Canis lupus familiaris: one gene and its partners. The protein of the gene in region 1 interacts with the protein of each later gene in a pairwise test. Links are inferred from orthologs where the notes say so. Each region holds a gene or a part of one and is shown in the gene's direction. Other genes may lie near its edges. The genes, in order: RGS20, PTPMT1, OTX1 and HOXA1.

Region 1 (7,823 bases):
AGAAAACCAATATTGCAAGAATAGCTCTACAGGAAGAGGAGATCTTAGCGGTAGGATGGACCATTCATGTTGTGTCTTAAGGGCTAGTGTAAGGACTTTGGATTTTACTCCAAAATAAGAAGCCAATAGAAAGTTTGGAGTTGCAGAGTGGCATAACCTGACCTACATTTTAAAGAAAAATCCTAGCTTCAATATTAAAGGGATGTGAGGCAAAATGAGAGAAACGAGGCAAAGGGGAAGTAGAAATACCGGCTAGAAGGGTAATTCAGAAGTCCAGATGAATGATGATAAGACCTATATCAAAGGGTAGTAGACAAGATTTTCTAGAGAACCAGAACCTATAGGATATATATGTGATAGACAGATGATGACAGAGAGTAGCAGGGAGAGGATAGAAGGAAAGGGGATGGTGAGGGAGTGGGAGATTTATCTTAAGGAATTGACTCATTCCATCATGTTGGCTGGCAAATCTCAAATCTGTAGGGTAAACTGGCAGGTTGGAAATTCAGGTTAGAACTGATGTTTCAGTCTTGATCTAAAATCTGCAGGATAAGTCAACAGGCTGGAAACTGAGGCAGGGTTTCTTTTTTTTTTTTTTTTTTTTTTGAGGCAGGGTTTCTATGTTTCAGTCTCGTGGCCAGATTTCTTGAGACGGAGAATCTGTTCTATGCCTCTTCCTCATTTCTGATGGTTAGTTGGCAATCTTTGGCATTCCTTGGCTTGTGGATGCGTCATCTCCATCACTGCTTTTATTTTCACATAGCATTCTCTGTGTGTGTCTGTGTCCAAATTTCTCCTTTTTTATAGGGATACCAGTCACATAGGATTAGAGGCCCATGCTATTCTAACATGACTCATCTTAAATAATTATATCTGCTCCATCCTATTTTTAAATAAGGCCATATTCTAAAGTACTGAGAGTTAGGGAGTTAGGACTTCAACATACGATTTTGAGGGAGACTCAATTCATCCTATAACACAGTGATAACTGTGAATGTAAGAAGCAGGGATACTCCAGTGGTTTTGACCTGAACTGAAATGATCAAGTGGCCATTCACCGAGGTGGAGCAGAAAGTTTGGAGTGGAATACCAAGAGTTCAGTTTTGTGTATAATCAAATAAATATATGTACATAGATTCAAATAAAGACCCACCTCCTATATTAAGCTCCTCACTTGGTTAAGAACACCAGCAGGAAGGCAAAGGGCCCAGTTATCTCTGAAAGAATTGAGCAGACAGCCTGCAGTGTTTCCCTCCCCCAGACATGCCTGTCACCTAAGTAGCCCTCATTTCTGGTCCCCTCCGTTCCCAGTTCCACCCCCCCTCCTTATTACCAATGCTCCAGTATGTAACATCTACTTGTAACACCTCCATGTAAGCCCTAGGCATAGACCCACTAGAAAGTTATTAAAAGAATGAAGTCAAAACTAATTATGAGCTACAGAGATATTCTTTTTAACAGTTGTACTTTCACTAAGAACATCAAGATTTGAAGCAGAACCTAATAGAAACATCATTGTTTGGTTGGCCTCAAATTAATATTAACCTGTGACTCTACTATCCATGATCTGTCTATCTTCTATCTTGCCATTTTCCAATCTGCATGATTTAAAGTCAGCACAAGCAAAGACTTGCCGTATTAGACTTTTAAATCATTGCCAATTAGATTCTTAGATCCAAGTGGAGGAATTATTTCTCCAAATAATGAAAAAATAAAAATGTGTAATATGGCTAAATCAAAGCAAAACAGAGGTTAAAAAAAAGGAGTCCAGAAAAAAAAAGGTCCTCTCATAAAATTAAATCTAATTTCAAATTCCATCCTGTGATTTTAATTCTAAAGTCTATCAGAAATTTTTTATTAAAAGTAGTTTAATCCTGCCATGAATGCTTCCTTTATGAAATGATGCTATTTAGGGGTGAATGCAAAACTTCAATTTGCCTTTTAAAGGGGTGAGACTTTGTGTATATTGATTTGGGTGTGGTGATTTTTTTTTTCCTCTGCAGGGTTCGTAGCCAATATGATTAAGTAGGGAAGGGGATATTCGATCTTTATAAAGTATTCCCTAAGTCTTCTGGATCCCTAAGGAGTGATGCTTTCAGTAATACAGATTCCAAGATGATTTCATTTTGTGCAAAATGTTAGTGAAACCCTCAGACTGTCATCTAGAATCTGGCCTAAAAGGAAGACAGGGATTTCTGGAGCACGGCAGGCAGCAGAAGTCTTTCCTCAGATAATTTTATCAGATCAAATTTTGTGGCTCCACTGACACTTCCAGGGCTCTGTACTTGCCAGGAGAGCCAGAGGGAGTAGGATTTCAGCACCCTACACTATCATGCTTCATCCCCCTGCTTGTTAGAGAAGCCAGTCGTCCCTGCCCAGACTTGCTCTGACTGCGGCGTGTCCAGACACAAGCCAGAATTGGAGAGCAGACCTGAGAGAAAAGACCAACCTAGGGAAGGGTAAAAGCTGACTGTCTCCAAAGGAGCAGCGGAGCAGGGGCTTTGGTTTTCTGGGGCTGAGTTTGGGACTTTTATTCTGCCTGAACATTTCCACTATTTCCCTCACAAGCGTCTCTGTCTTGAAGCAAAGACCGAAGCAAAATGCCTAATGAAGCGTGCGGGGGGGGGGGGGGGGGGGGGGGGGGGGGCGGCGGGGAGGACGTGCAAGTGACTTGGGAAGAAGGACTTGGGAGGAGAGAAGGGTCAGGTTATAGGTTCACACATTCTCACAAAGCCATTTGAAAATATGAGCTGGAGATGCAAATTCTGGGACCCACAGAAGTCCCGTGAAGCCTCCTTTGGGCCCTTAGAAAGTGTACCTGTTGCTCATTTCCAGCGATTTAATCTTTGCTCAAGCCTTTCTATGAAGGCTGGTCGGAAAAGGTCGCTGGCGGGCTTAGTCAGGCTCTGGGTCACCACGGATTGAACCGGTTCTTTCTTGACTTCCTCTCCATGGGGTCCTTCAGGCCCCCGTGCCCGCATCCGCTTAGGTTTTTGCTGTCGTCCGGCAGCTCACCCGAGACGGACGCGGCCACGGCCACTGGCCCACCATCACCGGCAGGTGCGCACGAAGTGAACTGCGATCAGTCCAAGTCCAGCTGCCCGCGGCGTCCGAGCTCGCTTGGCGCCTCCTGAGCACCCACCCCAACCCCAGACCAAGGGACTCGTCCCTGCCTCCTCCCCCGCGAGACCAAAGCTGGGCGCCGAGGCCCGCTCTGAGTATTTTCCAATTCTCTCATTTCCCCACCTCCCCACCTCCCACCCCGCCCCCCGCCTCGAGTGCGCTGTTGGCCCTCCTCCAGGAGCCTCCCGGGCTCTCAGCTCCAATCCCTAAAATAAACGCACGGTGCCAGAAAGCAGGGGAGGGGAAAGAAGCAATTGAACGGAGAGAATGAAAATTCTAGGAGAAAGACCCCATTCTCCAGGAAAAGGTAATCAGGGGAAGCGAAACAGTGTGAACTTACTCGGAAATGCAAACCGAGCTCCACTCTCTCCCCGGGCGCATACAAACGACCGAAAGACAAATCGGCCAACGCGCTCGGCGGCTTCCCAGAAAGGGCCTCATGAATGAGAATGGGTTGCTAGGTTTCCTCCCTCCCTCTCGACAATTGCTTCCCACAAGACTTCTACCGCCCAAAGAAAACATGCGGGGCCTGCCAACTGCGGAGCAGGGGGAACGCAGCCAAGCCCACGGAGGCCGCCCGCGGCCGCTCCCGCCTTCAGGACCCTGGAGAGCGGCGGCCGCGCCCTGGGGACTCGCTTCCCGCCCCGCTAGCCTAGCCCCCTCCCGTGCCTCGCCACCCTGTCACTTTTATTCGCTGCTTCCCGCCTCCACCTTCCAATTTCTTGGCAACCACCACTCTTGTTTTTCACAAACAGATTAAATTGTCTTTTTGTTTTGCTTGAGGGTGCTGTTTGTATTGGCTGAGTTAGGTTCTGGATTGTAACTTCTCTAAATGTTAGTGGACCGTGAAGCTCTAAAAATGAGACCTGACTAGGCAGGTGACTTTAAAAAGCCAGAGTTCAATCCCTTTACTCTATAAATGAAGCAGATAAATTCAAAGAATAAAGAGACTTTCCCAAGGTTAAGCAGTGGACTTAGTTGCAAGGCTCAGTCTAGAACCTTGGGTTTCTGACTTCTAAATTAATGCCTCCCTCTACTTTCAAAGAAAATAATAATAATTTTACCTTCACACTGGCTGTTTTGATATCCCACGCAACAAGTGGAAGGTGCAAAGGCCTGTGTTCCTGAGAATAAGATGGACACATGAGAGTGTGGAAAGGGGCCCTGCATAGTGTGCACTTATGAGACCCAAAACAGTCCTAGTATCCTGCCCACTCCAACGTGTACAGCCAAAGCCAAATCAGCCAGTCCCTTGTTCCACCCAGCCTTGGTCTCGGATTGCTCAGTCCTCTGCCATTAATCAGTTCTCCCCTAGACACCTCTCACAAGGGAACCTAGTAACCAAGTCTAACTTCTATGACTCAGCAGGGAGAACTCTAGGCACTTTGGGAGGTGGGAAAGGTCAGAGGGAAAATGGGAGATGAGCAAGAGTTGCAAAAGTGAATTTTCATTCACTAGGAAATCCTAAAGAACCAAGAAACACCAATACAGACGCTTCTTTACACTGCATCTCACATGTAAGGTGCATACAAACCCCACTGGGAATGTTAACATTCACATGTTGATGCTCTAGTTCAGGACAGGGTTCCAGATTCTGTATTTCTGACCAGCTCCTGGTTGTTATTGAAGCTGCTGGTCTAAGAACCACACTGAGTAGCACAGAGTTTAGAAAGGGGGGAGGGGAGGGGGGAGGAGAGAATAGAGAAGGAGAATCTAACCAAAGGCCTTTCCCTTTGCTCTCGCCTACCTTCTCTTGCACCCCCAAAATACAGCCTCAAAATGCTGTAGCAAATGATAGTAAATACACATTTTCTTCTATCTGTAGCTAGAGCCAACAGTAACGGTGTGTTGATTTTGTTTCTCTCCCCCTACCTCCTGCCCTGCCTGCTGCCGACCCTGCACAGCTCCCAGACTCGCCCGCTGCCCCGAAGCCGCTCAGCCTCCTGTCTGGCACGCTCTCTGGCCTCGCGCGATTCTTCTCTCACCTTCTCCGGCGACCCCCTTCTGGGACTCCCCAGCGGCGCCCGGACTTCTCCCTCCTGCTTTCCGTTCGCTCTCTGCCAGCGGCTAGGCTCTCGCGGGGCCACGGGGAGCGGCCAGGCCGCCTCTCGCTCCTGCTGGGGGCAGCTCTGGCCCTGCCCAGCCGACCCCCGGGGGGCCGCGCGCCCAGGGAAGAGGACGCCTGCGCGGGGCAGAGCTCGCCCGTGCCCGTGAGTACTGTGGTCCCCAGCACGCCCCACCCCCGACCTCACCCGGACACGCGCACCCCCAGCTCCCTCCTGACCCCGACTGACCCCTTCCGCGCCGGGCCAGCAGGGGCTCCGCCGCGAGGGGCCAGAGCGGGAGGTGTGGGGGCAGAGGCAGAGAGTTTTGGTGGGAAGGTTAAGAGAGGCTTGAGCACGTTCAAGGAAACGGCGCCGGCGCCTCGGCTGACACTCCTTTTCGCAGCGGACCCCGGTAGCTACTTTTCCTGGACCTTTTCCATCCAGTGTGAATGGAAGCAGTGGAGGCGGGAGGGAGTCCTCGCCCTTCCTGAGGCTGCTTCTCAAACTCTCCTTCTTAACGTGCGGCTCAACCCCTTGCTCCGAGCCTCCCCGCAACGCGCCTCCGCCCCTCCTCGCGCCCACTCCCCTGCCCTCTGGCCGTCCGCAGGCTCTGGAGGCCGGGGAGGAAATGACGTGATGCTATTTCTGTGTCAGGTCAGCTTCCAGCTTCAGTTTGGCCCTCCAACCTCCTGCTCGGGCCCCGGCGGTCCGTGCGCGCCTCGCTCCCGAGGGCGCACAGAGGGGCCTACGGGGATCCCCGGGGCTCTGTGCCCCAGGAGCTGAGCTGCCGCGTATTTTCCGCCCCGCCCCCAGGTCTCTCCCTACGCCTGGGGCTCGGAGACCGGGGGACGGCAGGCAGCTGCCAGGGGGCTCAGCGGGATCCGGAATCCGGAGTTAGCCAAGCGCCTCGCCCCTACCCCCACCGTCGACCTGGTGGGGCCTCGGGCTGCGGCGGCCGAGGGCGTGGAGCTCGTCGCCAGTGAGGGACAGGCAGAGGCATCACCAGGGTGGGACGGGGGCAGAGCTCGGAGAAGCACCCGAGGCGAGGAAGAAGGTAGGGGGCTGCCCTCCAGACGCCGGGTGGTCCGCCGCGTGACTCTCCGGGGCTGGAGCACCCCCTCCGCTCGCACCTCCCTCCGCCCGCCTCCATTCACCAGGTCTGAGCACGCGTCCCCGCACTACCGAGTCTCGCTCGGCCCGCGCGCGCCCAAGCCAAGGGGGGCAGAGGCGATCTGCAGGCGCTCGCCGCGCTCGCCTGGCTTAGTGCCGGCACGCCGGGCTCGGCCCAACCGCGGGCTGGGGGAGTGGGCTACAGCCCCGCCGCCGGCTGGGGCCCTCCGGGAGCCCGGGGCGACCCCAGCCCCCGCCGCAGTGGAGCGCGCTGCGGCAGCAGGGAGGCGAGGCCGGGATTGCCCGGCCGGGGAGGCGGGGGGGGGAGGGGGGGGCGGGGGGGGAGGAGGCAGAGCCGAGGGAGCCCGAGCGACGGAGAAGAAGGTGAGAGGAAAGACCGAGGCGAGCAGTCGCGGGCGAAGTAAAGCTACCAGGTGGTATTGTAATATTTAAAAAAAAAAAAAAAAGGCACCCACTAGACGCATGCGCACGGCCGACCGAGGCGAGCTGGCCCGAGCTTCCCCTCCGGCTCGCCCAGCGGACGGCGAATTCGTGAGTACCGCGACCCTCGCCCCCTGCCCCCGCTCGGACTCGCTCGAAGGCCTCGGGCTGGGAGGGGGCGGCGGCCAGGCGGGGCGCGCCCGCAGGGCAGGACCGGGAGCTGTCGTCGGAGCCGCGGTGGCGGGAGCTGGTGCGGGTCGGTCGCCTCACGGCCCCTGCAGCCCCGCAGATCGGTCGGCGCGTCCCGGGGGTGCCCGGGCTCACAGTGTGTCCTGGGTCTCAAGGGGGGCGTCCAGCCGCCGGCATCAGCTTTGCCGGGTCCACCGGGACGTCCGCACGACTCAACCACGGCGGCCTGGGCTCCAGCCCTGGAAGCCTCCCGAAGTAGGCTTGGGGAACTCCGGGCGGTGGGAACGTCGGCATCCTCCGCGGGCCGCGCAGCCGGAGCGCCGGCGGGGGGGGAGGAGACACTCCCTGGATCCCGGAGCCTCCGTAAGAAAAGCGCCGCCGGGGCGGTGGCGCCGGGGAGCGGGTCTGACCCGGTGTCCGCATTCAGGCTCCCGGAACCCGCCGGGAGCGCCCAGGCGCGAGGTGCGGGCGCCGCGGCTGCTGCTCTTGAACAAACCCCGGCGACTGAGTCTCCGGGTAAGTTGGGACGTGTCCCCGCGGCGCGGCTGCGGACCCTGGAAGGGGCGTGGGCGCGCGGGGCCGGGCCGGTCCCCGGCCGTGGGGGGTGGGCGGGGAGGGGCCCCGAGGCCCCGGGGGGGTTGCGCGCCGCAGCGGGTGGGCGCCTGCGGGCGGGGCTGGGTGCGCAGCCGGGGTGGGCGGGAACCGGCGGGCACCGGGCGAGCGCGGCGAGTGGGCGGGGACGGGCCCCGCGGGAGGCGGCGCTCCCAGGCAGGAGTGGGTGTCTCGGAGTCGCCGGCTGCGGGGCGCGGGGGGCGGGGGGCGGGTATGGGGGAATCCGGGCGAGCGCGCGGCCCGCGGCGGACTGGGCGGGCTGGAGGGGGCAAGTGAGCGCAGGCTCCATCCGGGAGCAGTGGG
Region 2 (8,620 bases), on another chromosome or scaffold:
GCCTTCCGCCCAGGGTGTGATCCTGGAGTCCCAGAATCGAGTCCCATGTCAGGCTCCCTGCATGGAGCCTGCTTCTCCCTCTGTCTGTGTCTCTGCCTCTCTCTCTCCATGTCTCTCATGAATAAATAAATAAAATCTTAAAAAAAAAAAAGAAAATGTTTATCACAAAATGTTGGGAAAATATATGTGTATAAAAATCTGTTATTTCTGAAGAGTGCATTGGGGGTAAGGATGGAACTTTTCAGATTATGTACTTTATATAAAGCAAAAATTGTAAATGATTCTTTGATACAGTAATTGCACTTTAGGAATTTCTAAATTCCACTATCCTATCATAGTAAGTCTAAATATGGAAAATACAGAAATATAGAAACAATTTTCATGCTGGAATTATTAAAAAATGTGGAAATATCCTAAATGTCCAATAACAGGAGAATGATCATATTATGGTGTAGTAATTAGGATCATTCTAAATGGTAAAGATAATGTAATAATATGGCAAGTCCTTATAGCACATTTCGTGATAAAAATGGATACAAAAAAAATGGATACAAAAGCTTGGTGACTGGGATGCCTGGGTGGCTTAGCGGTTGAGCACCTGCCTTTGGCCCTGGGCGTGATTCTGGAGTCCCGGGATCGAGTTCCATATCGGACTCCCTGCATGGAGCCTGCTTCTCTCTCAGCCTGTGTCTCTGCCTCTCTCTCTCTCTCTCTCTCTCTCTCTCTCTGTGTCTCTCATGAATGAATAAATAAGTAAAATCTTAAAAAAAAAAAAAAAAAGCTTGGTGACATGATTACAATTATTTTTTTTTATTTTTATTTTTTAGGGAAACCTGGGTTGCTCAGTGTTTGAGCCTTTGGCTCCGGGCATGATCCTTGGGTCCTGGGATCGAGTCCCACATCAGGCTCCCTGAAAGGAACCTGCTTCTCCCTCTGCTTATGTTTCTGCCTCTGTGTGTCTCTTATAAATAAATTAATACAATCTTTAACTTTTTTTTAATTTTAAGTAATCTAAAGTCAATATGGGTCTTGAACTCACAAATCCTAGATCTAAAGTTGCATGCTCTACTGACTGAACCAGCCCGGTGTCCCTACTATGCTTTTTAAAAATGGTACATATAGGGGTGCCTGGGTGGCTCAGTCAGTTAAGCGTCTGTCTGCTTACAGCTCAGGTCATGATCCCAGGCTCCCTGCTCAGTGGAGAGCCTGCTTCTCCCTCTCTTCCTCTGCTGCTCCCTCTGCTTGTGCACACTCTCTGTGTCAAATAAATAAATAAAATCTTTTTAAAAAATTAAAAAAAATAAAAATGGTACATATAGACCACATAGTGTTATCATATGACCGAACAATTCCATTCTTAGGTAGATATCCAAGAGAAATGAAAATATATGTCCACACAAAAACTTGTATATGAATGTTCACAGCAGCATTATTCAAAATAGCTAACAAGTGTAAAAAGTCAAATGTCTGTCAACTGATAAATGAGGAAACAAAATTTGATATATCCGTACAACAGAATACTATTTGGCAATAAACCGTACAATGGAATACTATTTGGCAATAAAAAAATATAGTACTGGAGTGCCTGGGTGGCTCGGTTGGTTAAGTGTCTGACTCTTGATCTCAGCTCAGGTCTTGATCTGAGTCCTGAGATCAAGCCCTGAGTTGGGCTCCATGCTGGGAGTGGAGCCTACTTAAAAACAAAAACAGGGGATCCCTGGGTGGCTCAGCGGTTTGGCGCCTGCCTTTGGCCCAGGGCTCGATCCTGGAGTCCTGGGATCGAGTCCCGCGTCGGGCTCCCAGCATGGAGCCTGCTTCTCCCTCTGCCTCTCTCTCTCTCTCTCCTCTGTGTCTATCATAAATAAATAAATAAATCTTTAAAAACAAAAAAAACCAGTAGTGACACATGCTACAATATGAATGAACCATGAAAACATTATGCTAAGTGAGAGAAACCAGACTCAAAAGACACATATTGCAGTTCATTTACTTGAAATGTCTAGAACAGGCAAATCTATGAGACAAGTAAATTAGTGGTTGCCCAGGGCTGTGGGGAAAGGGGATATGGGACTTGGCCAGGGGCGGGGTATGAATAAATGATATGTTCTAAAATTGATTGGGGAAGGGCACCTGAGTGGTTCAATTGGTTAAGCTACCGACTCCTGGTTTCCACTCAAGTGGTGATCTCGGGGTCATGAGATTGAGTCCTGCATCCAGCTGCAAGCTCAGCAGAGTCTGCTGGAGATTCTTCCTCTCTCTGCCCCTCCACCCACTCTTGCTCTTTCTCTAAAATAAAAAAAAAATAAAATGTGATAATTGTACAGCTCTGAATATACTAAAAACTATTGAATTGTACACTTTAAATGGGTGAACTGTATGGTATGTGAGTTGTATCTCAAAGCTGTTACAAAAAAATTTTCTAGTGGTACAGTTACGAAATTGAAGGAAAAATACATGTAGGGACACCTGGGTTGCATTGTCTGAAGGTACAATGAGCATCTGCCTTTGGCTCAGAGAGTGATCCTGGGTCCGGGAATCGAGTCCCATATTAGGCTCCCTGTGAGGAGCCCGCTTCTCTCTCTGCCTATGTCTGTGCCTCTCTCTCTCCCTCTCATGATAAAAAAATAAATCTTAAAAAAAAAGAAAAAGAAAAAGAAATATATCTGTGGTGGTGAAATTATGGATAAGTAGAGGGGCACCTGGGTGGCTCACTCAATTCAGTGTCATCCTTCCACAGAGGTCATGATCCCAGGGTCCTCGGACTGAGACCCTAGAAGGCTCCTTGCTCACCAGGGAACCTTCTCCCCTGCTTGTGCTCTCTCACTCTCTCTGCCAAGTAAATGAATGAATAAATCTTTAAAAAAATATATGGGTAATTCGAGTAAGTTCTACTTCCCTGTATTTTCCAATTGTTATTAGTATCTATTACTTTTTAATTTTTTTTCTTAAGTAAACTCTAATCCCAAGGTGGAGCTTGAAATCACAATCCCAAGACCTGCATGCTCCACTGACTGAGCCAGCCAGGCGCCCCAAGTATGTATTACTTTTACATGGAGAGAAGAAACTTTTTTTTAAAGAAAGTACCAGACGCCAGACGCCTGGGTGGCTCAGGGGTTGAGCGTCTGACTTTGGCTCTGGGGGTGATCCTGGAGTTCCAGGATCGAATGGAGTTCCACATCGGGCTCCCTGCAGGGAGCCTGCTTCTCCTCCCTCTGCCTGTGTCTCTGCCTCTCTCTGTGTCTCTCCAGAATAAATAAATAAAATCTTAAAAAAAAAAAAGTACCAGACGCAAATAAAGAGCATCAGATGTAGGTTCCACTTAAATGTAAATAAGCAGCATCACAACCATTCCTCTTACCTCTCTGTAGGTTGTGGTTTTTACGTTTAAGCTTATCACAATATGTTCTTAATTTATCTTCATAATTAGATTTTGTATATATGTTGTTAGAGATTTTATTTATTTATTCATTCATTCATTTATAGATCTTTCATTCATTCATTTACTTATAGATTTCATTTTTTTATTCATGAGAGACCCAGAGAGGGAGGCAGAGACACAGGCAGAGGGAGAAGCAGGCCCCTGTGGAGAGCCCGATGTGGGACTCGATCCCGGGACCCCGGGATCACGACCTGCGCCAGAGCCACCTCGGCTTCCCTAGAGATTCTATAGATACACTTTTTCTTCATACTCACACACCCTGGGGTTCGGGCAGGAGGAGGGCGCAGGGAGTCCAGGCAGATGGGGAGGGCGGGACCCCGTCCGCCCTCTCCGCCAAGGTAGCCCCGGCCTAGAAGCTCAGCGCCCCTTCTTCAGCCCTCCCCTCAGGGTCTCTTCCCCGACGGGTCTCCCCTCGGGGGGGTCGCCGCCCCCTCCCTGCGGCGCGGGCCTCCCTCGGGTGGGGGGAGGCCGCCGGCCGCGGGCAGGGGCCCCCGTGTCTCGCCCGGCGGAGCCCCAGGCCTCGGGCCCCGCCGTCCCGCCCGCCTGGGACTCCCCGGGCCCTCCCCTCGGCCGGCGGCCCCTCCTCCCGGACCATGGAGCCCGGCGCGGGCGCCTCGGGCTGCGCCGCCGAGCGCCGAGAGGCCGGGCCCGAAGCCTCGGCGCCGGAGGGGCCCGCGGCGACCGCGGCGCCTTCGCGGGAGGCGGCGGACGAGTGGCCGCCCTCGTCCCCGTCGCCCTCGGGGCTCCTCTCGCGGCCGCGGCCCGCGAGCCTCGGCGTGGGTGAGGCGCGGCTGCCTGAGGCCGGCGGCGGCAGGATGGCGGCCGGCGGGTTGCTGGAGGCCGGCCTGGCCCGGGTGCTCTTCTACCCGACGCTGCTGTACACCCTGTTCCGCGGGAAGGTGCCGGGCCGGGCGCACCGCGACTGGTACCACCGCATCGACCCCACGGTGCTGCTGGGCGCGCTGCCGCTGCGGAACATGACGCGCCGGGTGAGCGGCGCCGGGGGGCCGGGCCGGGAGGCCGGGCCGCGGCGGACCGGGAGCCGGCGAGCGCCGCCCGCGCCCCCGCGGCCCTCCCTGAGCCCCGTCTTTGCCTCGGCAGCTGGTTCAGGACGAGAACGTGCGCGGGGTGATCACCATGAACGAGGAATATGAGACGCGGTTCCTGTGTAACTCCTCAAAGGTGAGGGGCCGGGGGCGGCCGGGGGCGGAGGGAGGCGTCGCCGAGCACCCGGCCCCTGCGGTCGTGCCCCGGGCGGCTCCTCCGCTTCGGGAGCGGCGGCCGGAGGTAGAAACTAATCGTGAAAGAGAAACCCGTGAGAAAGGCGTTTAAAAGTAGAACCAAGTCTGACTACTCCTTTATGCACAAAGGTTTTCTTAATTTCCGGAACTCGAGTCAGTAACCAAATCGGAAGGCCGCTTTCCCAAGGCTTGCTGATTGCATTCATTCGACACTTAGCGCTGCCGGGCAGTCCGTGAGGCACCCAAGACGGAGACCCTATAAACCAAGAACAAAAGCCCCCTCTCGGTCCCCAAGGGTAATTTATCATAAAACAATCCCTTGAAAAATTATACAGGCTTCAATTTTTGGCATCGACTTGAGGGAATTGTTATTCTATATGTTAATGATAGAGTGGAAGTGTTGTCACAACAGAGTTCAGACCTAAAACAATTTTTTAAAGATTTTTAAAATTTTTTACTTATTCATGAGAGGCACATTGAGAGAGAGAGGCAGAGACACAGGCAGAGGGAGAAGCAGACTCCATGCAGGGAGCTTGACGTGGGACTCGATTCCGGGTCCCCAGGATCAGGCCCTGGGTAAAAGTCAGTGCTATACCGCTGAGCCACCCGAGTTGCCCCCTAAAACAATTTTCACTAGGTTTCAGTGCTTGTGGAACTCTCCACAACAGTCATCAGACATGGCCCTATCTTTATATAAAGATGTTGCCCTGAGACGCCTGGGGGCCCAGTCAGTTAAGCTTGGAACTCTTAGTTTTTCCCTCAGGTCATGATCTTAGGGTTCTGAGATCAGCCCTGCCTCTGGCTCCCTTTTGGGTGTGGAGCCCGCTTAAGACCGCCCGCCCCCAAAATAAATAACGATGTTGCCCTGTCTTTATTGCATTTGACATCTTTTAGCACTCACTACATAGTCCTCTTTCTTGTTTACTGTTGATATAGCCTGTTGAAGATGCTGTTACTTCAACTGATAGTTTTTGTAACCTTAGAAATGGACTCACATTTAAAATATATTCATTAGTAATGACATACATTTCTACGAAATCGATAAGTTTCTTGGATTTCCCAAAGTACTTTGCTACAAGGTTTCAGGAATTATTAGCCAAAATGTTAAATGTTCCTTAGTGTGGTCAGTCCTGTGGAGTAAGAGTCACAAAAAATGCTTGGTCTTTGGGTCTGAGGCATTGACACTTGTATGATGCAGCTATAGTACCCAACTAGCCTAGAGAAAAGAGATCTCCAAGGCAGTGCTTCTCACATTTTAATAAACATAAATATTATCTGGCAGTATTCAAATAGCAGATTCCTAAGTACAACCCCCTAGAAATTCTGATTCAGGAACTTTAGGGTGGGGTCCAGGAATCTGAATATTTAGCAAATATTCAGGTATTTCTGGCATAATGGATACAAAGCCCCATGCTGCAAAATGCTGTTCTTTTGTTAATTTCATGAGCAGTATATGACCTTCCCTCTGTCATAAAGTCTTAAGTCATAAAGTTCAGCCAAACAAATAACCAAAAGAAAATTAAATGGGGCAACTGGGTGGCTCAGTTAAGCCACTGCCTTAGGGTCACGTCATGATCTCAGGGTCCTGGGATCAAGCCCCATGGTGGGGCTCCCTGCTCAGCAGGAGAGCCTGCTTCTCCTTCTCCCTCTGCCCCTGATGGTGTGCTCTCTCTCTCAAATAAATAAATGTTTTTTAAAAGAAAAAAGAAATAAGCAGATTAATAACTATTAGCTGGAGCCTATCTGGAGTTTTGTTTTTGTTTTTGTTTTTTTTTTTAAGATTTTATTTATTCAGACAGAGGGGCAGAGACATAGGCAGAGGGAGAAGCAGGCTCCTCGAGGGCAGCCCAGTGCAGGACTTGATCCCGGGACTCTAGGACCACGCCCTAAGCCAAAGGCAGATGTTCAATGACTGAGCCCCACCCAGGCGTCCTTTTTTTTTTTTTTTTTTTTTTTTTTTAAGATTTTACTTTTTAAGTAATCTATACCCAAGGTGGGACTTGAACTTACAACCAGATCAAAAGTCACATGCTTTACTGACTGAGCCACCCAGGCATCACCTTATCTGGAGTTGTCAGGCAAAAAATTAAAAAATAAAAATAAATTTTATTGATATGCCAGAGGCCTTATTTCTCCTGTTGCTTATTCTTTTCTTCTGAAGTGATAATGTACTAACAAAGATAGGTGTGTTGTTTTATTTTTATTATTACTATTTTTTTTAAGATTTTATTTATCTGAGAGAGAGAGTATGCGTTCACAGGAGAGCACAAGTGGTGGAGAGGGAGAAGGAGGCTGCCCGTTGAACAGGGAGCCTGATGTGAGGCTCAATGTGGGGCTCAATCCGAGGACCCTGGGAGCACAACCTGAGCTGAAGGCAGATGCTTGCTTAACTAACTGAGCCACCCAGGCACCCCAGGTGTGTTAATTTTGAAATGGTAACTTTATTTTCTACCATGTACTCTCTCAAAAAAAAAAGTGGTAAAGAAGAGACTTATAGACAGAAAAATAGAAAGCTCTTGCAAAATTCAGTAGCCCAACCCTGCAGCTGGGTCACTGCACAGGTGCCAAGATTATGCAAAAAGTTACACAACTTTTGTAGATGAATTTTATACAGCTAATATTTTGTAGCTAAAGATTCAAATACGGGTGTCTGGTTGGCTCAGTTGGTTAAGCATTTGTTTTCTGTGCAGGTCAAGATCTCAGGGTATTAGGATCAAGCCCCCACATCTCCCTGCTGGGTGGGGAGCCTGCTTCTCCCACTACCTCTGCCTGCAGCTCCCCCTGCTTGTGCTCTCCATGCATGTGCTCTTTCTCAAATAAATAAAATAAAAAGATTCAAATACCCAAAGGGTACTTTTTTTTTTTTTTAATTATTATTCATGGGAGACACAGAGAGAGAGGCAGGCTCCATGCAGGGAGCCTGATGTGGGACTCAATCCTGGGACCGGGGGATCATACCCTAAGCTGAAGACATGCTCAACTGCTGATTTACCCAGGCATCCCCCAAATGGTACTTTGGGAACATTTAAAATCTTGAACATAATTCTAACTCAGTAGCACAGCTGTTGTTTGATAAAAGACCAGCAATGCGGGTTATCCATTTTATAGACATCTCTGTAAGAAGTTTCTTGTTTAGAAAATAGTAAACATCAGGCTTTTTTCATTCTTTTTTTTATGCTGGTGGACCTGGTTCCAGGAATGGAAGAAAGTAGGAGTCGAACAGCTGCGGCTCAGCACAGTAGACATGACTGGAGTCCCAACCTTGGCTAACCTCCAGAAAGGAGTCCAGTTTGCTCTCAAGTACCAGTCGCTGGGCCAGTCTGTCTACGTGCATTGTAAGGCTGGGCGCTCCAGAAGTGCCACTATGGTGGCAGCATATCTGATTCAGGTAGGAAAGGTCTTTCTGGACTGGTTTATATACAGCATATTTCTAGAACTTCAGTAGCATGGTCTACTGAAGGCCTTGTTGGAAGGAGCCATTTCAGGCAGTCCCCAATATCAGGCTGTTGGGAGGTGGAAAGCACCTGAAGTTTGTAGATAGGCTGACCTCTGGCTTTGCCACCTGCCAGCTGTGTGACGTTAGGCAAAAGTGGCGTCCCCTCCCTGATCCTCAAACTAAATATGTCTTGAAGCTTGAATGAGAAAGAATGTCAAGCACTGACCTATGGCAGGCACTCAAAAAATGAAGTTGCAAAAGATGTTAACACTAGTAAAAGGCTAAAATAAAAACACTTCTTATAAATAGCATGTCAGGAAATCTAGTATTGTAGATAATAGTGCTGGTCACTTACAGCTTTGTAGGACTCAAGATTTCCTTTTTTTTTTTTTTTTTTTAAAGATTTATTTATTTATTTATTTATTTATGATAGGCACAGAGAGAGAGAGAGAGAGAGAGGCAGAGACACAGGCAGAGGGAGAAGCAGACTCCATGCCTGGAGCC
Region 3 (6,532 bases), on another chromosome or scaffold:
CCCACCCGCCTACCCCTTGCGGCCCCTCGGCGCGGTCCCGGGCGACGTGGTGTCTCGGGGACGCGTAGGGCTTTGCAAACAAAGTGTCTGTGCAATAAAGTGAAACCTGGAGGGACCCGCACAAAGCCACCGGGAAGAAAGAGAAGGCAGGAGGGAAGTTGGGGAAAGCAAGAACCCCGGGGAGCCGGGACCCGCCGTCCGGCCCGGCGAGTAACCCCCGCGCCCTCTGTCTTTGCAGGTCGGCTGCCCCGCGGGCCTGCGCGAGGGCGCGAGGTAGATGGTGAGCGGCCCCGGCAGCCGAGGGCAGGTAAGCAGACAGCCGCGGGGCCGCCCTGGCTCCGGGAGCGCGCCGCCTGCTCCCACCCCGGCCCCCGAGCCGGTCCCCGCTTCCCAGGTCCCCGGCAGGTGGGCGGGGCTGGGGGGCGGCCTGGCTCCCCTCCCGGCGCGCGGAGGACCCCCGATCCCCGCCGCGGCCCCGCGGCCCCTCCCCCGCCTCCTCCGAAGTCAGCGAGCTCAAGTGCTAAGTTTGAAGAAAGTCTCTGGAAACTCACGCTGCAGCTCGGCAGAGGCGCGGCGGCCCGGCGTGCCCCCCTCTCTCTGGGCCCCGGAGCCCCGGGCTGCCCCTCCTTCGCCCCCCTTTCCCTGCCAGCTGGGGTCCGCCAGCCCAGACCGTGGGGCCTGGAGGAGGGGCGCGGGAGGCCGCCCCGGCTCTCCCCGCCCTCCCCGAACTCCCCAGCCCGGCCCCGGGCCTGCTTTGAATCCCCCGCGACGCGGGGTGCAGCGCAGGGTCCCCCGGGGCCGCGGCCGCGCCCCCCAGCTCCACTCCCTGCCCCTGCGAACGGCGCCGCGGGGGGAGGCGAGCGGGGAGCCGGGCTTCGACCTGGCGGCCCGGGTCAGCCGAGCTGCGCCGCCGAGGCCTAGTCGCGTCGGCCCTGGGCAGGGTCCTGGGCCGCGGGCCGGGCGGGCGGGATAGGCCGGGAGCACGCGGGGGCGCGGCGCCCGGGCCTCCCCGATCCGCGACCCCTCGGGGCGCCGGGCGGGCCGCCCTCCGGCCTCCGCCCGGGCCGCGCTGTCCGCAGCCAGCAGCCAGCAGCCAGCAGCGGGCAGAAAGCAGCGGCGGCGGGCGTTGTCGGGGAGGGGGCCTGCGGCGGGGCCTGGGCGCCCCTGACCCCCCGCCGCGCCCTGGAGCCCCCGCGGCCCCCGCGTCCGCGTCTCCTGGCCGCCGTGGGCCCGGGCCTGTTACTGTGGCCCAGGTGTGCTGGGCTCCCCGGGGAGCGGCCTCTCCGCGGCCGGGCGCAGGGAGGTCAACTGGCAGGGTGGCCGTGGGCTCGGGGGCCCAGACCCAGCGGGGACACCCTTGCAGGAGCGCACCCTAAGTGGGCCCTGCCACCCGGAGAGGCCCAGGTGCCGCTAGCCTCCCGCGGCGCCTCACCTTAGCTCTCCCCGACCCTCCACCTTTTCATCCCGCTTTTCAAAAACATTTTGAAACGAAACGAAACAACCTCTGGTGCCCTGGGCAGCCTGCCTCACTGGCGCCGAGTAAACGTTTGCTCTTGCAGTATGGAGGCCGGCTCCTACCCGACCAGAATTTGGCCTAGACTTGGGACCTTGCACGCCGGGCGTTTTAGGCCCTCACTTTCCAGCTTGGCCCTGCTTTTAGCCTCTCCGCACTCCTAGCGACGCCCTACGAGGGTCTTTTACCCATTCCACGCCTGAGAAGAGGCGATGACGATCCAGAAAAGCTGACTTTTCAAAGAAGCTGTGGTCTTCCGGCCAAGGCCTTGTAGAGCCAAGCTGACCGCCCTTCCGAGTTCCGCAGGCCTGCGTGCCCTCCCCAGCCCCCGGCTGCTCGCCTCCGACGAGACCAGGAAACCGAGATGGCTCCCAGTCACTGTTTACCTGTGTCTCCTGTCTCCATAGGCCGGGCCCCCCGACGCAGCAGAGTTTGAAGGACTGCGCAGTGGGAGCCCCGCACTGCGCCTGGCCCCGGCCCCCTGGATCCGTCCGGGCGCCTCCACCCGGCTGTTAGCATGATGTCTTACCTCAAACAACCCCCATATGGCATGAACGGGCTGGGCCTGGCCGGGCCAGCCATGGACCTCCTGCACCCTTCCGTGGGCTACCCGGGTGAGCACCAGTCCCTGCCCCCAGCCCCTGCAAATCTTGGGGACGCCCAGACTCTTGAGTTTGAGCGCACACTCGGTGTCTGAGCAGGCCCGGGGAGTGGGATGGCGGGTCTGCCTGCAGTGCTCTGCACGCCGCAGGCTCACAGGGCAGTGGCGGGTGCATGAGGCAGGCCAGGCCAGTGAAGCTGGGCAATCTGTCTCTTGTGGTCCCACCACCAGCACAGGGCCCACTTACCCAAGGATTCGTTTCTCATGGGTGGCTTTTTTGGGGTGTGTGTGTGTGTGTGAATCTATTCCTTTCCTCCCAATGTTGAAAGAGAGATTTGGACACTCTCTAGGCCCTGACAGGAAGGGCCAGGCTTTTCTTATGAGAAGTGACTGGCTGAGACGAAGAAGAGGGGCTCTCCCTCCCTAATTGAATTGTCCTCTACATCCGCTGTCTGCACCAACTTTTGCACCGTGGATGTGGAAGGCTTGAGCCGCCTCCTCCCCGCCCCAGCTCCCGCTCCTTCATCTCCACTTGTTCCCTCGGAAAGCGTTTTCCAGGTGGTGTGTCTGCGCACCCCTTTCCCATCCTCCAGCCAGGGGATGTGTTGGGGGGGAGGTGGTGAAAGAAGGGGGATTGTATAACTTCTTTTCCTTTCTTAACCTCCGAGAGGCAGGGAAGGGGGCAATTCTGGAGTCTTGACGACACTGGTTCCCAGTCGCACACATGCACTTTCTCCCACCTGTGGCCTCTCAGGCTCGGCCTCCTGGGGGAGTTTTCTTTCGCTTGGAGCTTGGCTTGCTTTTGCAACGGCCTCGCACAGAGCCCTGCCGGGGGCCTGTCTGCGTCGTCTAGCGCGGTCCGCGTGGCCACCGCTGACCCGAGGCGCCCCCGCGTGTCCCCTCAGCCACCCCGCGGAAGCAGCGGCGGGAGCGCACCACCTTTACACGCTCGCAGCTGGACGTGCTGGAGGCGCTCTTCGCCAAGACTCGCTACCCTGACATCTTCATGCGCGAGGAGGTGGCGCTCAAGATCAACCTGCCGGAGTCCAGAGTCCAGGTGCGCGTGCCCAGGGCTCCGGAGCCGGGCCGGGCCCTGGGGCAGCGGGCCGGGGAGGGTCGGGACGGCGGCGGGCGGCGGGCGGTGGGGCGGTGGGGCGGTGGGGCGGTGGGGCGGGCCCGCGGCTGGCCAGGCCCTCTCCGACTCCCCCTAGCGCCCGGCCCGGCCCGGCCCGGCGAGGGGCCCCGCTGGAGGGCCCGCTCCGAGCCCTGCCCTGGCCGCCTCCCGCGGCCGCCTGCAGCTGGGAGTCCTCAGGCTGTCGGGAGGGCAGGCGGGGCTCCCGAGCGCCAGGCGCCCGGGGTGCGGAGTTGGGCCTCCGCCCTCGCCCCGCGTCCCCGGGATCCTGGAGGCGGCCGAGAGGGGCTTGGCCGGAGCCTGGCGCCCTGTCGGGGCGCGCCCCCGGGGGTGGCGCAGGTTTGGGGAGACGCTCCCTTCGCCCCGAGAGGATGCCAAACGCAAAACCCGGCTACGGGCCTTGCTTCTGATTTTTTGCGATAAAAGTCCTGTTTGGATTATAACTCCGACCTCTCCTCAAGGGCCTTTTATCTCGCCTCCCTTGCCCTCGAGGCCCGGGAAAGAACCGGGAGAACGCCCTAGCCCTGTGCCGGGGCCCTCCAAGGGGCGTGAGAACTTTGTGCCACTTGGCTCCCCACTTGGAGCCAAGACGCCCAACGAAACTGTGCTCGGGCTTGCTCCCGGGGCGCCCCGAGGGCACGGCCTCTGGTCGGCCTCCCCGCCTGCCGCCGCCGCCGCCCAAATTCCCGCCTGGCCCAGGCCGGGGCCTCCGGGCCCCGGCTGGCTCCCCCTCGGACGCGGTGGCCGCCCCGCCCCGCCCCGCGGTGCCCCTCGCGCCTCCGCCGCGTCGTGCGCCCTGTTCAGAGAGGACGGGCCTCCCCGCGTGCGCGGGGCTGTTGGGGAGCGGCCAGCAGCAGCAGCAGCAGCAGCTCAGAGATGCCTGGACTTCTGGCTGGACGGACGCGGACGTCCCGCCCGGGGGCGGACTCGCGCTGGGGGTGGGGAGGTGCACAGCCCCACTTCCCGGAGGATCTTCCACCAGGAGGATGGGGCGGGTGGCGGAGCTGGGCCCGCGGGGCGGGGGCTGGCCCGGCCGGGCGGCGCGCGAGCCCCGGGGGCCCCCTGACCCGCTCTTCCCTCCTCGGGCCGCTGCAGGTCTGGTTCAAGAACCGCCGCGCCAAATGCCGCCAGCAGCAGCAGAGCGGGAGCGGGACCAAGAGCCGCCCGGCCAAGAAGAAGTCGTCCCCGGTGCGGGAGAGCTCGGGCTCGGAAAGCAGCGGCCAGTTCACGCCGCCCGCCGTGTCCAGCTCCGCCTCGTCCTCCAGCTCGGGATCCGGCGCCTCCGCCAACCCGGCGGCGGCCGCGGCGGCAGGCCTGGGCGGGAACCCGGCGGTGGCCGTCCCGTCGTCGCTGAGCACGCCGGCCGCCTCGTCCATCTGGAGTCCGGCCTCCATCTCCCCGGGCTCGGCGCCCGCGTCGGTGTCGGTGCCCGAGCCCCTGGCCGCGCCCAGCAACGCGTCTTGCATGCAGCGCTCGGTCGCCGCCGGCGCCGCCTCGGCCGCCGCCTCTTACCCCATGTCCTACAGCCAGGGCGGCAGCTACGCGCAGGGCTACCCCGCGCCCTCCTCCTCCTACTTCGGCGGCGTGGACTGCAGCTCGTACCTGGCGCCCATGCACTCGCATCACCACCCGCACCAGCTCAGCCCGATGGCGCCCTCCTCGATGGCCGGCCACCACCACCACCACCCGCACGCCCACCACCCGCTGAGCCAGTCCTCGGGCCACCACCACCACCACCACCACCACCACCACCAGGGCTACGGCGGCTCGGGGCTCGCCTTCAACTCCGCCGACTGCTTGGATTACAAGGAGCCTGGGGCCGCCGCCGCTTCCTCCGCCTGGAAACTCAACTTCAATTCGCCCGACTGTCTGGACTATAAGGACCAAGCCTCGTGGCGGTTCCAGGTCTTGTGAGCCCAGGAGTGGAAGGAAGAAGAGAAGAAACGCAACTACCTGCGCCCTCCGTGGTCCCCGTCCTGTTGCTGCTGCTGCACCGCCCGCCTTTGCCTCGGCTTCTGCAGACCTGAATTTTCACGCCCCTAAAAGATGCCCTTTGCCTGCACTGCCGCCCTCCTCGTTCTGCCACTTGTTTGGGGGATGTGCAGACCCGCCCACCCCTCGGATGAGGAGACCGGTGCCCCGGCCTGGCCCACAAGTTCTGCCCACGTGGGGAGGGCTGTGCGCTCTCCTCCTCCTCCAGCCCCAACGAACTCCTAAGCCGCTCTCTTCCAGTCTCTCTGGGCAGTCGTTATGCACTTGCAGCCTTCGGAGGCTCGTTGCTCTGACTCGCTGTTTGAGCCCTACACTTTTATTTATTCTTTCTGGACACTGGAGTCACTAACTGGCATGTGTCTGCCCTTTGGAGCGCACCCCCACTCTGCCCCAAATCAAGACAACTTCTGAGTGTTTCTCGATTGCAGACTACCGCTCCCTCGGCTGCCCTCGGCCCCGCTCCCCGCCTGCGGGCCAGACCTTCCGCGCGCTTTCTCCTCCCCGGCGGGCTGCGCTGGGACAAGGCCCCAGGGAGGAGCGCGCCCCCAGCCTCTCGCGCACAGCCCCGCCCTGCGTAGAACTGGCTCAAGCTTCCGCCTCGGCGGGAATGCTGTACATAGTCGGGTCCGTTCCAGGGACCACTTAAACTTTTTAGTTGCTGTTGGTTGAACTGAACATATCTCGTCTTAGCGCCCAGGAAATAGAACTCTAAGATATATACAGCATATATATACATATATATACACACATATATATAAAACAAAAGCAAAAAATATTTTCCCTCTGTCCCCCTTCCTCTCTCTTCCTTAAACGATGGCGCTTTTATTTTTTATTTTTTTTTTTTAGTTGTTGCAAAGCTGACATGCCCTCTCACACCTCCTCCCTCTGTGTATTTATTAACGAGAACCTTCTGGTTCCAGGAAGCTGGGCGCTGAGGGTCGGGAGGGTCCAGAGAGTGTGGAGGCAACAGCCAAGTCAGGGTACAGGGGAGGGGGCTAGGCCGGGCGGGGACGTAGGACCAAGCCCTTCCCCAGGTCGAAGCACAGGGTCGTCCAGTTCTGGTTTAGAGACCAATCACAAAAGAAAACAAAACAAAATAAACAAAACAAAAAACAAATAAAAAATACGGCATTAAGGAAAAACCAACCAACCAACCCAGGCCCCAAGCCCCAGTTCCAATTCCTCTGTCGGCTTCTCTCTCTTTAAACAACCCTGTTTTGTCTAGTGAGTTTTTAGTGCACCTTCTTCCTCCGAAATCTGCGGAGAGCCCCGCGCCTGTGTATCAATTTTGGCT
Region 4 (7,440 bases), on another chromosome or scaffold:
AGACTTGAAGGTTCACACAAGGAACTACACAGGCAGTTACAAAGGGGAGGAGGTGTTGGGGAAGAAGAAAATATCCCGTCCACCATCAGCCATCTGTCCCCCGCCCCTCCCACCTGCCAGCCCCTACCCCCCACCTCAGACGTGCAGTAGAAAGGGGAGGGGGCGGTCAGTGGATAAAGGAGGCCCTACCACTCCCAACATCCCCCCTGCAGAAAACGAGCACCGTTGCGGGGGGAGCTCAGCGTATTTTGTTGGAGCTGCGGGCTCGCCCTTTGAGGCCCCTGCCGGAGCGCGCAGACTCCTGGGTCCGGGGGAGCCGGCAGATGGCCTGCAGCGCACCGCCCGGCCCCCACGCTGGCCACGTCCGCTAGCGTCATCTTTCTCCCCCGCCTCCAACCCTTCAAAATCCCGCGGCCGAGCTGCTCCGGATCCCGTAGGGCTCCCGGAGCAAAGCCGAGTGGGGAGGAGAAAGGGGCGGAGAGCGAGGAGAGAGGGAGGGCGAAGAGCCCGGCCACCCCCGGCCTTTTCCGGCCAGCTGAAATACTACCAATCACCCGCTCCCGGGCGTCGAATTACAGAAGCTTCTCATTGCCTTGCTAATAATGTTAGGGTGGAGGGAGTAGGGTTCGGAGACCCTCCTTGGAGAAGGGAGGGTTTTTTTTGTTTTTTTGTTTTTTTTCTCCCTTGCTCTTGTCCCCTCCACGCCCACCTGGGGTCCTGCAGGCCAATCCTCTGCCCACTTCCCTCTCCCTTCCGAGCTTGAAGAGCTGGTGGCCCAGCCTCGTCCTACGCCACTGTCCCCTGGGCTTCTCGCTGCCCCGGCACCGCAGCAGGGACTGTGGACTGAAAAGCGCCCGGGGAGCTGCCGTTCCTGCTCCGCGCACGGCGAGCTCGGGCCCCGAGCTGGTGGCAGGGCGGCGAGCTCTGGCCCGCTGGTTCCCGACCCCGGAGAGACGGAGCCCTCTTCCCTTCTCACCTCTCGCCAGTTCATCTTTCTGTGCTCGGTGGGGAGGGGGCGGAGACGGGGATGCCTCCCAGCCCCCACCTCCCGGAGGGGGGGAGAGCGCAGTCGGCGCGCGCAGAGGGTGGCGGCTGCTCCCCTTCGGCCCAGCGCTCCGAATCTGCCCCTGCAGCCGCCGCAGCTGCCGCCGCCGCCTGGGCTGCCTGGGGGGGCGACTGCGCGTCACCTAGACTGAGCAGCGCCGGGGATTTAAATGCCACTGAAACGGTGATCCATCACCGCGGGAGCCAGCAAACTTTCGCAGGAGGCTCCGCCATTGGCTGGCGGAGTCACGTGCCCCTCCCCCTGCGCCCTCCGCCCTCGCGCCCCCCCTCTTGCGCACTGTACATTCATATCATTTTTCTTCTCCGGCCCCATGGAGGAAGTGAGAAAGTTGGCACGGTCACCCAGGGCTTCGCAGGACCCGGTCCCTCAGTGACAGATGGACAATGCAAGAATGAGCTCCTTCCTGGAATACCCCATCCTCAGCGGTGGCGACTCAGGGACCTGCTCAGCGCGAGCCTACCCTTCCGACCATGGAATTACAACTTTCCAGTCGTGCGCGGTCAGTGCTAACAGCTGTGGCGGCGACGACCGCTTCCTAGTGGGCAGGGGGGTGCAGATCAGCCCGCCCCACCACCACCACCACCATCACCACCCCCAAGCGGCCACCTACCAGACTCCCGGGAACCTGGGGGTGTCCTACTCCCATTCGAGTTGTGGTCCAAGCTATGGCGCGCAGAACTTCGGCGCGCCTTACAGCCCTTACGCATTAAATCAGGAAGCAGAAGTAAGTGGTGGGTACCCCTCGTGCGCTCCCGCAGCTTACTCTGGAAATCTCTCATCTCCCATGGTCCAGCATCACCACCACCACCAGGGTTATGCCGGGGGCGCGGTGGGCTCGCCTCAGTACATTCACCACTCATATGGACAAGAGCACCAGAGCCTGGCCCTGGCCACGTATAATAACTCCTTGTCCCCTCTCCACGCCAGCCACCAAGAAGCCTGTCGCTCCCCTACATCAGAGACCTCTTCTCCAGCACAGACCTTTGACTGGATGAAAGTCAAAAGAAACCCTCCCAAAACAGGTCAGTCTTGCCATTCTTTGGATGTTCCTTGATGGTTCTGGAAGGAGCTAGTTTGCTTAGTTGCCAAGGAAAATTAATACTCAAGAAAAGTTCTTGCTTCTTCCCACCGGTGTTGTAGGGTGTGGAGAGAGTGCCCAGGTGTATCGGGGCAAAGGAGCATCTGGGAGTGTTGTGTTTCCCAAGAGGCTGAGTTTTAGAGGTTCTGGAGTAGGAAGTGGGTAGGGGTGTGTGTTTGTGTGGTGGTTGGGGGGTGGTTCTGTTAATATCTCCAGGCTCCATTAATCACCAGTCTGACCATGCAAATGGTTGACTTCAGATTAACACTTTACACCTCATCAGTCTCCTTTCCCAGCCCAGTTTCTGTTGAGAAATTCTTGATCTCCCCTTTACCTGAATGTTGCTCTGAAGCATATAGGGGATCTCATATGGACGGTAAAAATTTTTATCTTTCTCTCTCATCGCTCCCCACCATGTCCCCAGGGAAAGTTGGAGAGTACGGCTACGTGGGTCAACCGAATGCAGTGCGTACCAACTTCACCACCAAGCAGCTCACCGAGCTGGAAAAGGAGTTCCACTTCAATAAGTATCTGACCCGCGCCCGCAGGGTGGAGATCGCAGCATCCCTGCAGCTCAACGAGACCCAGGTGAAGATCTGGTTCCAGAACCGCCGGATGAAGCAGAAGAAACGAGAGAAAGAGGGCCTTTTGCCCATCTCCCCTGCCACCCCGCCAGGAAGTGAGGAGAAGGCGGAGGAATCTTCAGAGAAATCCAGCTCCTCGCCCTGCATTCCGTCTCCGGGGTCTTCTACCTCAGACACTCTGACTACCTCCCACTGAGGCCCACCCAGCCCCAGACTCCGCAACCCAGGCTACTCTGAGGGCTGGGGACTTCTTACCCAAAGCACATTCTTAGCTTATCTTCCCTTCCATTTACAGTCTCTCTCTTCCTTTCTGATCCTATCTGGGGAGCTCCTGGCCAGAACAGTGTGTTTCCAGAGAATTCTAGATTAGAGGCTTGATTGAGGTGTGTGTGTGTGCTAACTCCTTGATGCAGATTAGGTGCCATAATCAATTTTTTGACGGCTCCCAACACCCCTCCCTACTTTTGGAAGATTTCCACAGAATCTGTTCCTTTTAGATGTCCTTTGGAATATAGTCTCCTTTGCCAGCAGAAACATGTCAGAGGGAGGCCTATCTTTTACCTATCTGTATATTAACAGTTCTCCCCTACTTTGCCCTTAAAGTAGGATAGAGAGAAAGGAGAGTCCAGGAGCTCATAAAGAAGAGATGCACTATGAGCGTGTTTACACAATTAATTCATCCCTTAATTTAATTCAATTTCATGTGTGTGTTTGCTGGTTGTAAATACTTTGTCCTGAGAGATTTATCTTTATACAGATTTTCTAGAAATGTTTAGATTAAGTGATTAAAACAGGGTGGGTAACTCAAAGCTGGTACAATTTTATATGTGATTATAGGTTAAAGAATAAAATTGCTTACTTAAACTCAGTCAGATGCCTCAGAGGGTAGCCTGCATTTGTTCTTTTGGTGAGTTAGGAAGACCTAAAAAACACAAGGTTCGAAAACCTTGCTTCCTGTGCTAAGTCTCTCCCCATCCCCACCCCATTTATTGTTTCTCTGGCCACACTCTATTTAAAATTTGTGCTGGGTTATTCAGAACCTAAAGGTATTATTCAAGCCAGCTTCTTCCTTCCACAGTTATCTTTGCTGGATATGATGTATTTTCAGCTCACTTGTTAATGTGATGGATGGCACAATGAATGTATATTTTGTGTGATTCGTGAATAGTCTTTTGCATGTCGCACAATGTTTTCATGTCCCTGAAGTACCACACTGAGTTATATCAGTTATTCTTTGTGAGTCTATGATATTCCCCCTTTCCTGTACAATCATGAACAGCTCTGTGATCCTGGAGTAATGTGATCCAGAGCAGAGTTTACGGGTCTTAAGATGTCTGTAATAAATATATTCAAGTTTCACATATGCTTAAGCATCCCTGTATTTGGCTTGGCTGCAATTTGTTGGTTCCAACAAGATTGGCTCATTTCACATGGTTGCTGGGGAAGGGTGGTGTGCACTTTCAGAGGTGGGCCTTTCCTTGAAAAAAAAGTAAATGGCTTTCCATTATGTAGCTGAAACTTCCCCTGTGAGTGTCATGGCACCTAGCGAATGCCTATTTAATAGGTTGACTTTGTTTAAAATAACAATAGTTCCTTTATTATAATCCAAGTTCATAATGGAAAAAAATGGATGGTGAAGAAATTTATAAGGCAGATCTATTTTTGAAAGAAACATGGATACTTCCTGGGTCAAGTGCTAACCTTTTCACCTCCAACTGAATGTTGACGTATGTATAAACAGAACGCCCTTCAAAAGCCCAAACTCTTCAGTCCGTCTTTCCTCACATCAGTGAACCAAGAGCTAAGGGATTCACATTTAATGAGCTCCAGTATAAAGCTGTTTGAGGGCAAGGCCTCCACTTTAACCCTCTTCTTTTTCTGCTTGTCAGGCAGTGTTCCAGTATATTCCATCCTCTAAATCGAGTATGGTCTGTTTTCAGGAAACCCTTGCCTCTCTCCTCCTGTCCCTCCTGTCAGTACCCTTCCCTTCCTGCCACTCTCTACAGGCCCTCCTGCCCAGCTCCTCTGGGTTACATATCTCATTCCCATCAGATTCAGCTTTGATTTCATAGCCTCCTCGGCTGTAATGGGTCTGCTCTAATCCATAACCCAGTTCTAATCCCCTAACCCAGAAAAAAAGTTTCTATTTTCTTCTCTGGGCTCGACAGATGCTTCCAGCAGTTGGAATATAGTCTCCTTTGCCAGCAGAAACATGTCAGAGGGAGGCCTATCTTTTACCTATCTGTATATTAACAGTTCTCCCCTACTTTGGCCCTTAAAGTAGGATAGAGAGAAAGGAGAGTCCAGGAGCTCATAAAGAAGAGATGCCTGGAAGTCCTTCAATATTCAAGTTGTTTCCAACCGAGGCAAGTGTCTGCTCTCAAACAGAGGAAGCCAGCAAATCAAAGTGTTCAAAATGGCTCTCCTCCCAGATCTCTTACCACTTTTCCTTCGCCTTCGCACATTTTCAGAGGCTTTAATTGAGCTCCAAGGGTAGAGCAGAGATACAGCATCACAAATACAGGCATATGACCTTCTTCCTCTACAAAGGGTGTTTCACAAAGGATGGGCTGGCAGTGGGAGGAGAAATCCTACAAAAACTTGGAATTTGCAGGTCTCCTCGAGCACCCATGAGACTTCCTGTACTTCCCTGTCAAAGGGGGCAAGCCTGGACTTTGCAGGCGCAGTTGTGCGGCCATATCAAGGGCACCCGCTGCCCTCCCCTTGGCTCTTGGATCCTGGGCTCTGCGGTTGCCTCTAAAAGACTCAAGTGGATGGAGAACTTCAAAGTCGGCCAACTCTTTCTTTCATTTCCCACCCTGGCCTTATACAGTATCTTTTGTTTATTAGTGTAAGGCCACACAGCAAAACAGATGGCTGGTTTCCAAATTCTTTAATGTGTTAAAGTGTCATTTGCATGCCACTGCCGTAATTTCAATATCTAAAAGCAGGGCCGGACCCGCTGGAATCCTGGAGATTCCAGTCTTCGAGGTGCTGGTTTTAATGCAGCCGAGAAAGGGGAGAACAATAAATTATGGCTAAGCATCCAAAGCCTTCTCTAGGTCGTGGAATAAATCAGTTAACAAGCAATGCATTTAGGAAACATTAATATACCCTTCAACAGGAAAACATTTGTATCTTTTTAGTTGTCCCAATCGATTAAATCAGAGGCGCTTACCACATCCTATTTCTAGGTCTCTTTTTTGTTTTGGTCTCTCAGGAGCATGGTTGGTTAGCTCCCTGAAAAATGACAGCAATGGTGACTGAAACAACAAAAGATAGAAAACACAAAAATAGCACTTTAGTGATATATATTAAAAAAGGCCAAGAGTCTCAGTAAGGGACTGGGGGTAATTGTAAGACAAAATTCCAGTTTTCAATCGCTTTCTCCTCACTTCCTTCACACTCGTTCAAAGTACTCCCGAAATTCAGGGTGTCCCCAACCTGGGCTGAGTTGAGATCTTGCTCTTGGCTTCACCTTTGAAAGTTTACTTTTGGAGGCTATTCAGATGCGGTGGTGTTTTCCTCTGGGGCAATCAGATTCAAACCGATCAATATTTACTCAGTCTGAAAGGGTTGTTGAAAAGGCTGCTAACAACAAACTGCTTAGCTGCTCACCCCTGTTTAATCTCAGGTTCACTGAAAGTTCAAGAAGAGATGAATGCAGTGATGGGTCACTTTAGAATGAGTCCCAGCGGTTTATCTGAGCTCTCAGCTAAAGGCAACAATTATAGTTCCATCCCTCTTTGGGAAAGGGGCAACTTTCCTATTATTCTTTTGCTAAACAGTGTTTACTAGAAACTTAAAACACTTTCCTCTCTCTTCCTGGCTTTTTTTTTTTCTTGTAGGTGGGGAGAGGATCTTCCAGCTGCCCTCTGCCTCTCTCCTCTTCTAGCTTTCTGCTAATCCACTAGGTTTCATTTGACTTAAAATAAATTACATTGAAGATTTTTAAAATGTTAAATTAGCCTGACAGAAGACATCAGATTTATTTTAGATGCCAGGAGCTATGAAATGAGGCTCTTTGGGCCGTTAGAGCTTATCTTCTTTGCGAGAGTACAGGGCAAGATTGAATTGAAATCCATTTGCGTTTGAGTAATATCGACAGAGCCCCAATATCCATCTGAGATGACTTTTTAGACAGGAGGTGAGAAGAGGAAGGGGTAATCCACTTGTGCAAAAAGCAAGTACCTCAGGTAGAAAGTCAGCTTTAAAATTTTATGCTCGCCTAGTGCAGGCTATTGAGACAAGAAAGGAAAGACCCAAGGAAGCCAGTTGGGAATGGTGGGAGAAGATGCTGGCCACTGAAGCTAATTGCTACAGCCCTTCAGAGGTCAAAGTTCATGTAATCACTGCATAAATGCATACTAAATAGGGATTTATTAAGCTTTTCTGATGGCTGAGCACGTCTGTGAAAAAAAAACGGTCACTGCTGTTTGTGCTTCTTCTCGAAGAATAATCATTCTATCAGTAGAAGCTCTAGTAGCCTGAGTCTTTAATTTACTGTCTTGAATGACAGGATACCCTTCTGTTTTAAAAATTTGAAATCAATGCACGGACATCTTTCTTTATTTTGGATGGGACTGTAAAATAACTCGTTCTTAGAAACGTTATGATTTTTTTCAATACACACAAGAACACAAGCTAGCTCGTCCTTATCAAACTACTCTAGATGGCTAACTTTGGTGACTTTCTACTGTAGATAAACCTAC

Evidence for each region.
Region 2: the proteins of RGS20 (region 1) and PTPMT1 interact in binary tests that used the Homo sapiens proteins (3 or more experiments, as listed by UniProt). The two-hybrid records come from large-scale screens. The link is inferred for Canis lupus familiaris from reciprocal best matches to the Homo sapiens genes RGS20 and PTPMT1.
Region 3: the proteins of RGS20 (region 1) and OTX1 interact in binary tests that used the Homo sapiens proteins (3 or more experiments, as listed by UniProt). The two-hybrid records come from large-scale screens. The link is inferred for Canis lupus familiaris from reciprocal best matches to the Homo sapiens genes RGS20 and OTX1.
Region 4: the proteins of RGS20 (region 1) and HOXA1 interact in binary tests that used the Homo sapiens proteins (3 or more experiments, as listed by UniProt). The two-hybrid records come from large-scale screens. The link is inferred for Canis lupus familiaris from reciprocal best matches to the Homo sapiens genes RGS20 and HOXA1.

The regions. Positions count from the first base shown.
Region 1 is NC_049250.1:5,842,031-5,849,853, forward strand, and holds part of RGS20 (regulator of G-protein signaling 20), read left to right. Parts: intron 1-3,219; coding exon 3,220-3,228; intron 3,229-3,463; exon of another isoform or gene 3,464-3,548; intron 3,549-5,018; coding exon 5,019-5,333; intron 5,334-5,830; exon of another isoform or gene 5,831-6,325; intron 6,326-6,637; exon of another isoform or gene 6,638-6,662; intron 6,663-6,674; exon of another isoform or gene 6,675-6,761; coding exon of another isoform or gene 6,762-6,830; intron 6,831-7,019; exon of another isoform or gene 7,020-7,424; intron 7,425-7,823. UniProt on the Homo sapiens protein: Inhibits signal transduction by increasing the GTPase activity of G protein alpha subunits thereby driving them into their inactive GDP-bound form.
Region 2 is NC_049239.1:42,510,304-42,518,923, reverse strand, and holds the start of PTPMT1 (phosphatidylglycerophosphatase and protein-tyrosine phosphatase 1), read left to right. Parts: upstream 1-4,226; 5' UTR 4,227-4,254; coding exon 4,255-4,428; intron 4,429-4,540; coding exon 4,541-4,621; intron 4,622-7,876; coding exon 7,877-8,068; intron 8,069-8,620. UniProt on the Homo sapiens protein: Lipid phosphatase which dephosphorylates phosphatidylglycerophosphate (PGP) to phosphatidylglycerol (PG).
Region 3 is NC_049231.1:64,121,251-64,127,782, forward strand, and holds part of OTX1 (homeobox protein OTX1), read left to right. Parts: intron 1-238; 5' UTR 239-307; intron 308-1,518; exon of another isoform or gene 1,519-1,920; 5' UTR 1,921-2,030; coding exon 2,031-2,127; intron 2,128-3,019; coding exon 3,020-3,171; intron 3,172-4,341; coding exon 4,342-5,160; 3' UTR 5,161-6,532. UniProt on the Homo sapiens protein: Probably plays a role in the development of the brain and the sense organs. Can bind to the BCD target sequence (BTS): 5'-TCTAATCCC-3'.
Region 4 is NC_049235.1:40,360,212-40,367,651, reverse strand, and holds the end of HOXA1 (homeobox protein Hox-A1), read left to right. Parts: exon of another isoform or gene 1-790; coding exon of another isoform or gene 791-903; exon of another isoform or gene 904-1,045; coding exon of another isoform or gene 1,046-1,164; exon of another isoform or gene 1,165-1,257; coding exon of another isoform or gene 1,258-1,278; exon of another isoform or gene 1,279-1,386; 5' UTR 1,387-1,442; coding exon 1,443-2,088; intron 2,089-2,568; coding exon 2,569-2,924; 3' UTR 2,925-4,091; downstream 4,092-7,440. Other genes in the region: WAS/WASL-interacting protein family member 1-like, read right to left, coding at 791-903, 1,046-1,164, 1,258-1,278. UniProt on the Homo sapiens protein: Sequence-specific transcription factor. Regulates multiple developmental processes including brainstem, inner and outer ear, abducens nerve and cardiovascular development and morphogenesis as well as cognition and behavior.